Linked DNA regions of Ovis aries. The protein of the gene in region 1 purifies or fractionates together with the protein of each later gene. This does not show direct contact. Links are inferred from orthologs where the notes say so. Each region holds a gene or a part of one and is shown on either strand. Other genes may lie near its edges. The genes, in order: STRIP2 and PPP2CB.

Region 1 (3,817 bases):
GGTTCTGTTTCGGGGCAGGTCACCTTTTTCTTTTGGACTGATGGGAGATGCCACTTTTTGAGGTAGGGTGTTATTGCACCTCTTCCTGATAGAGCTAATGTTTCGTGGAAAGGACACTGGCTGAGAGGTGGGAGATCTGACCTCTGTTGATACTGAGGAACCTTGGGCGATGCTCTGTGTCTCGGTTTCTCTAGCTGTAAAATAGAGGGTTTATTGCCTGCTCTCTGTTCAGATAGAGGATTTGCTTTCATAAAACAAAGTCCTTGTAAGTGTATGGTTGCAGTTTTGTTACTAATTATTCAACCCGATTCTTCCTCTTTGGCTCCCTCCCCACAGAACTGGCTGAACAACCTACCCCCTAGGGCAGGCCTTGAGTGACTTTAGGGGTGTATAGTATCTAAATGTATTCCTTGAAAGAGGGTACATTTTCCTGTTTTTATCCCCCAGTGGAGGCCTTCAGTAGTCCCTTTCCTAATTTCTGGGGATCCAGCCCTGGGTCAGTAAATAGTACTTTATCCTGACCCCTCAGCTCTAAGGGATAGTGGCCACCTCTGAGACTGGGCCCAGTTACCACATTCTTTTTGCCTTCTGTTGTATTACTTCCTAATTAAGGAGGGGGTCTCGGGGACTGGAGGTTGTGACTATTCTCTCCATCCACACTTCCCTGACCTTGCCTTCTGACTTCTTCCTCTCTTTTCTGCCCCTTTCCTGTTCAAATCTCAGTTTACCCTCGGTGGATTTGAGCATCTGCAGGCTCTCAAAGTACAGAAGCGGGCGGAACTGGGCCTTCCTCCACTGGCGGAGGACAGTATCCAGGTGGTGAAGAGCATGCGGGCTGCCTCCCCGCCCTCCTACACCCTCGACCTGGGGGAGTCTCAGCTGGCACCTCCACCCTCCAAACTGCGAGGCCGCCATGGTTCTCGAAGGGTATGGACTAAAGCAGACAGTGGTGTTGTGACACCAGCTGGCCAAAAATCGAGATTCTAAGCAGCTCTGGATATGTTAGGAAAGAACAGCAAATGACTCTGCTGTCCTACCCCTGACCAGCCCTGTGACCAACCTGAAATCTTGGAGACTATACTTTGGCTTCTGTCCCCAAGCCCTGATGGGGTCCTGGCTGTCAAGATGTCATACTGTGATATCACTTCATAGATCCACGTCTTACTAAGGATCATTGACCTAGACCTCAGTGCCTGGAGTTCCCTAGTGTGCCAAACAACAGTTGGGGTAAAATCTTGGCCATAGGTACCTGGTAGAGGCACTTTGTCATTTTCTTCTCAGTAAGAAGTTTTACTCTGAGCCCGCCGTGCTCTTCTCTGGCCGTGAAACGAGAGGCTTACATTTAAAGATGACTGGTTAGGGGTCTAGATAGTCTGCGTCCCTAGAAAGGTCACAGGTACAACTTGCGCTGAGACCTGACTATACTCCCAAGAACTCGCCTGCCTGATATAACTGACGTCACCAACTACAGGTGACGGGTCCGGACAGTCACACTCAGTAATCTAGTCTACATTATCTGCAGTGTGATATTTTTTTAACCTTTATTTTTTGTTTGACAAAATAATGCTTACTCATTATAGAAAATTTAGAACAAATATAAAAGTGTGGAAAGGGAGAGAAAAAAAAGTCACCCACAATCTTAACAACCAGAAGCAGTCACTGTTAACTTTTTGGCCTATTTCTGCCCAGTCTTTTTTGTCTTTCTGTGACAAGATTTAAAATTCCAAACTCGATTCCCTCTGCCTAGCAGCAAGCTCCCATTCTCCTCTTCCTCAGTCAGCCAGCTGGTGTATGCTCACAGAAGGCAAATTAATTGAATGTTCACCTAAGTGGAGCATAATTAGGAAGGAAAGTGCAGGCAAAAAAAAGCATCAGTGTTTTCTGAAACCTAAGTGTGACTTTGGGATTATCTGTGCTCTGTCTCCCAGCCATAGATGTGGTTGCTTGAGAGAGCTGCTTGTCCTGGAATTGGGCCTGGTGGGGACAGTAGGGTTGAGATGGGAAGAAAAAGTTCTCACTAGGGGTGGGTTCTTACTCCATGTTCCCTGAAGTCAGCAGCCTGGGGGTAGTGGGTAGTCTCAGACAAGGATGCCCAGACTGAGATTTCTGGACACCTTCCCTCTCTCCTTCTACCCACCCTCCTCGCCCCCCAGCAACTCCTTACTAAGCAGGACAGCTTGGACATCTACAATGAAAGAGATCTCTTTAAGACTGAAGAACCAGCCACAGAGGAGGAAGAGGAATCTGCCAGCGATGGAGAACGCACTTTGGATGGAGAGTTAGACCTGCTAGAGCAGGACCCTCTAGTACCCCCTCCACCCTCACAGGCACCCCTCTCTGCTGAGCGTGTGGCCTTTCCCAAGGGCCTACCTTGGACCCCAAAGGTCAGGTAGGCTTGATAACACCAGAACCCTGGGCTTTGGGGTTCCAGTCACTGGAGGCTGAGGGTGGAGTGGTCTGTGTATTCAAGGCTCAGTAAGCTGGGCTGTGAGTTGGAACTCCTGGGTGGGGAGTTCCCTTTATTGGCTTCCCTTGCTGTTCCAGTTTTCCATCTGGAGGGGTGGGAGCCCAGTAAGGTTCTCTCTCTCAAGGTTTGCTATTCTTCCCTTCTCTGGGATTTGTCTGTCCACCATCCTCTCAGACAGAAGGACATTGAGCACTTCTTGGAGATGAGTAGGAACAAGTTCATCGGATTCACTCTGGGGCAGTAAGTGACTGGATGGTCAGAATTGGCTATATAGAGGGGTTCTTGGGGGGCAGAGGAGTGGGTGGCTTGGAATGAGAGATGTTGCCTAATCATGGTGATACAACCCAGAGCCTTGGGCAGCTCCCAGTGACTGCTTTGGGTTCTTGCCATCTAGTTTTTTCCTTCCAGTTTCCTAGAACTTTTATGTTCTCAGCCAGGTATAGGATATAGGATGTTGATCAAGTCATTTCCCTATGGGAATCAGTTTCCTCATCAGAGTGTTATGAGATGATCCCTACAGGCTCTTTTCCTAGAGAATTCTGTGAAGAAGCAACATGGTGGGAACAGATCCAGTCTTTCCCCATTTCCCTACCCTTGTGAATCCCCACCGGTCACTGCAAAACCTCAGAAGCTATTCTTCCTGCTGTTTTGCTGTCAAAAGTGTTGTTGGGCAACGTGCCCTTTAAAATAGGAACCTACTCCCAGACAAAGTGAGTCCCCACTAGACTATACAGAAATCCTAAGTTACAGAGGCTCTTCTCTGTACCGTTGTTCTTTTTGTGTCCTGAAGCAATGAGGGACCTGATAACTTGCAGAGAAAGATCCAGGCGACCAGATGGTGAAAGTGGCCTGGTCCACATGACTCCAGGAGTATCGGTAGTTCTCTGTACTTCTGACCTTTATATATCTTGTGTTCACAGGGATACAGATACTTTGGTTGGATTACCCAGGCCCATCCACGAGAGTGTGAAGACCCTCAAGCAGGTAAGTAGGTTGGGCTGTCAGTCTTCAGAGATAGGGACCCATCAATACAAATTGAATGACCCCCAGTAGGGTCCTGGGTCCTGGGTGGGGCTCTTCCACTAGCCATGTTCTAAACCTGTTATTCTGTATTTCCTCTGCAAGGGTTTTGGCCAAACAGATTTTAAAAAGTCAGGTCTCTACCTACCTATCCAGTGTCCTACATTTAGATGGATGAAAAAGTTATCCCTTCTTCTCTCATTGCTTTTCCCTCCTCCCACCCTCCTCTCCCTCTTCCCACTTATCACTTCCTTTCCTCTCACTTCTCACTCCTTAGAGGCTCAGTAGCTTCCGCAGGCCCAGGATCAAGTAGCAGTCTGCTTTGTATCC
Region 2 (3,817 bases), on another chromosome or scaffold:
GGTAACACAAAATCACTGAAGAGTTGGGAACACTGAAGTAAGATGAAAGTTAAAAGAGAGATTTAATCTGGCAGCATATGCAAGGTAGATTTGGAGAGGTCAGGTCTTGGAGAGAGAAATGTAGGTTACCACATTACTGTACTAATTAAAGCGACATGAAGAAGATATGCATTAAACGACAGTAAAAATAGAAAAGACACAGAAACAACAGATTTCTCAAGGCAAGAATTTTAAAAATAGAGTATCAATTAACTATATATGTGGGATAAGTTGATTAAAAATGATTTTAAGACTTCAGCTACGGATTACGACCTATAGCAATAATTTACCAGAAGTAGGCAAGAGCAGTTTAATGCATAATTTTCATATCTTTCTCCCAAAAGATGTAAAATCAACTATTATTTTAAGGGGCTATAAAATGAATGGACCATAAACTAGAACATTATGATATGCAATGCCCACTCTGTCTTTTGCTGATTTAAAGCTTGGGAAAAAAAAAAGAATTTCATTAGTCATACCTTTAATGCCACAAGAAGAGTTACAGTCTCCACAGAATAATAACCTCTGTCTACATAGTCACCCATGAACAGATAGTTTGTATCTGGTGACTTCCCACCGATTCTGAAGAGCTCCATAAGATCATGGAATTGACCATGCACATCTCCACAGACGGTGACAGGACAACGGACCTCTTGTACATTTGATTCTTTTGTTAAAATTTCCTTAGCCTGTTAAAGAAATGAAATCAACAATTAAAAAAGAAGATTCTCTCACAAATCTGAAGGCATCATTTCTTGTCTATTTAAGAAAATCTGGAGGAAAAAAATCAACTGAAATGTGCACTATAAAATCATAAAACTAAAACCACAAGAAGAGACGACTGTACACGTCGTAGGATGGCTCGATACAAAAGAATTACAAGTGTTTTTGAGGATGTGGAGAAGCTGGGAACGTTCACAGTGTTGGTGGGAATCTAGAACGGTACACCTGCTGTGGAAAATAGTCCGGCAGGTCCTCCCAGTGCTACACACAGAACTACCATGTCACCCAGCAATTCCATCCCTAGACAGAGACTCAAGAGGCGAAAACTGCAGCTGACACATGTTCATGGCAGCATTACGCACAATGGACAAAAAGCGGAAACCACCCCAAAGCCCACTAACTAATGAATAAATAATGGTATTATTTGTTCAATGGAGTATTATTCAATAATAAAAGCACTGAAAGACTGATTACACGCTGTTAACTTTGAAAACATACTAAGCGAAAGACAGTCACAAATGGTCATACTGGATGACTCCATTGATGTGAAATGTTTGGAACAGACAAACCTACAAAGATAGAACATCAGGGCTGCCTAGGTAGGGCTGAGGGGTAATAACTAAGGGGCAAGAGATTTCTTTTAGGGGTAATGAAAATATTCTAATAGGGCAGTGATGGATGCACATATTTACGAATGTACTAAAAGCCAGTGAAGTGAACACTCACAATCACTGACTTGCATAGAAATTTCACCTCAAAGCTGGTTTTTTTAAACGAACAATATTATTTATAGGTTACAAATATCAATATTAAAGAAAAAGTCACAATTATTCAAATTCTTTCACAAACACCTTACAGCAACTCATAGGACAACTTTCAACTTTATTTCAACTATTCTATATTTAATGACTCAAGTTACTGTTTGGAGGCCCTAAAGTACAGAATTTATATATAAACAGTGACAAATTAAATATATTGACTAAGTTCAAGTTCATGACACCTCACTTATCTAACAACTTTTCCTAATAAGAGCCCAGAATCAGAAAGTAAATGAAAAAATCCTCTGAAGTAATGAGCAGATATGGTAAAAGTATATGTACCAACTGAGACATGAGCTCCCTGCTGCACAGTCAGTCACTGGGATGGGGCAAGGAGGAGGGCAGAGCTGCTGCAAGGTGTAATTCCAATTAGCACTGAAGGGAATTTTAGAGATTATCAAGTATCTCCTAGGAAGTTTGACAAACGGCTCAGAAATGTCCAAGTTCACAAATGAAACGGCATTTTTATCAAGTTTAGTCCATAAAAATAGCTTCCTAATTTTGTTCAAGAAAAACAAATCAAACTGAGGAACATAAATTGGAGTTCAGTTGGACCTGATGTCTATTTTGGTTTTTTTTTTTTGGCTGTTCCCGCTCTTTGTGGTGCACAGGCTGAGTTACCCCAGAGCATGTGGGATCTTAGTTCCTCAACCAGGGATCAAACCCATGTCCCCTGCATTGGAAAGTGGTCAACCACTGGACCATGAAGGAAGTGCCTGGACCTGATGTCTTATATTTATTATTATTGGGAAAAACCCTCAACATTCAGCTGATGGTTCCAAATCTAAACAGGAAATCTCCTTCACATACAAACACTATCTTCAGTACCTTATTTTAAACATGGAAATAAAAAGCACCAAAATGTAAATATTATCCAATTCAACTGTTCTTTTAAGGCCATGTGGTTATCTTAACCCAGCACAGGTTTTAAACAACTATGAAGATGAGTTAAGAGACATGATTCACAGTGTGTGTTTGCTTTACATTAACAGCAATACTTCCTGAGCTTTTATCTACATAGCGCTGAAGTACTTCATCAGGCCAGACAAATTTTTATCTTTATGGTACAGATCCCTCATGTTTCTAAATGATTTATAGCTCACACCCTTTACTGTAAAGTGCTCTTATTTTGCAATCACTCTGGGGTCCCTTCAAGCAAAGGGCGGGCTGGCTTGGCAGAAGTTACAGTTCACCTGTAGACAGCTGGAATTCTCAATGTACAAACCCCTGTGTGTCAGGGGTCCCCAAAAGCGCCCCAGGTTTGCTAGTGATTCACAAAAGACGACCCAGAGAACTCAGCACACAGGTGTACTCACGGCTATGACTTACGACAGTAAAAACAGACACAGCACAATCAGCAAAAGGAAAAGGCGCAGAGGCACGGCCCCGAGCAAATCAAGGGCAGGCTTCAGGAGTCTTCTCCCGGCGGAGCTGCACAGACACACCTGACGCCTGTGTGCAACCTGCCCGTTACAGGGAAGCTCTTCAGCCTCGGAGCCCAGACGGGGAGCTGGTCCCTCTATGATGTACCAAAGTACTAGACGTCCAAAGAAAACCACATGTCCAGCATAAATCACACTGTTTGCATGAACAGTTTAGGCACAGTGAGCAATTCTCAACAGGGAATGGTGCAAAGCCTCCCCAAATCCAAGTTTCCAGACACCAACAAGAACCTTGACACCCAGCTTTTAAACAGACAGTGGTCTCGGGGCTGCTATGCCAGCTCTTTTCTGTACACTGTGTAACTCTGCACGTAATTCTCATGAATGTTTCTTTAATGTGACTTAGAACTCAAAGTTTGATTCTCTCTATGACTCTGATAGGGGCTTCCCTGGTGGATTAGTGGTAAAGAATCCTTCTGCCAATGCAGGAGACACAGGAGATTCAGATTCTATCCCTGTGTGGGGAAGATCCACTGGAGGAGGAAATGACAACCTGCTTCAGTATCCTTGGCTGGGAAATCCCATGAACAGAGGAGCCTAGCAAGCTACAATCCATGAGGGCGCAAAGATTTGGACATGACTGAACATGCATGAAGACTGATAGTTCAGTTCAGTTCAGTCACTCAGTCGTGTCCAACTCTTTGCGACCCCATGGCCCGCAGCTCGGCAGGCTTCCCTGTCCATCACCAACTCCCGGAGTTTACTCAAACTCATATCCATTGAGTCAGTGATGCCATCCAACCATCTCATCCTCTGTTGTCCCTTCTCCTGCCTTCAGTCTTTCCCAGCATCAGG

Evidence for each region.
Region 2: the proteins of STRIP2 (region 1) and PPP2CB purify together in Homo sapiens (affinity purification with mass spectrometry; 3 studies listed by BioGRID and IntAct, counting the BioPlex papers as one, with this or other methods). This does not show direct contact. The link is inferred for Ovis aries from reciprocal best matches to the Homo sapiens genes STRIP2 and PPP2CB.

What each region holds. Positions count from the first base shown.
Region 1 is NC_056057.1:95,044,010-95,047,826, forward strand, and holds part of STRIP2 (striatin-interacting protein 2), read left to right. Parts: intron 1-723; coding exon 724-927; intron 928-2,153; coding exon 2,154-2,389; intron 2,390-2,641; coding exon 2,642-2,707; intron 2,708-3,387; coding exon 3,388-3,451; intron 3,452-3,817. UniProt on the Homo sapiens protein: Plays a role in the regulation of cell morphology and cytoskeletal organization. Required in the control of cell shape. Calmodulin-binding scaffolding protein which is the center of the striatin-interacting phosphatase and kinase (STRIPAK) complexes.
Region 2 is NC_056079.1:26,053,225-26,057,041, forward strand, and holds part of PPP2CB (serine/threonine-protein phosphatase 2A catalytic subunit beta isoform), read right to left. Parts: intron 729-3,817; coding exon 519-728; intron 1-518.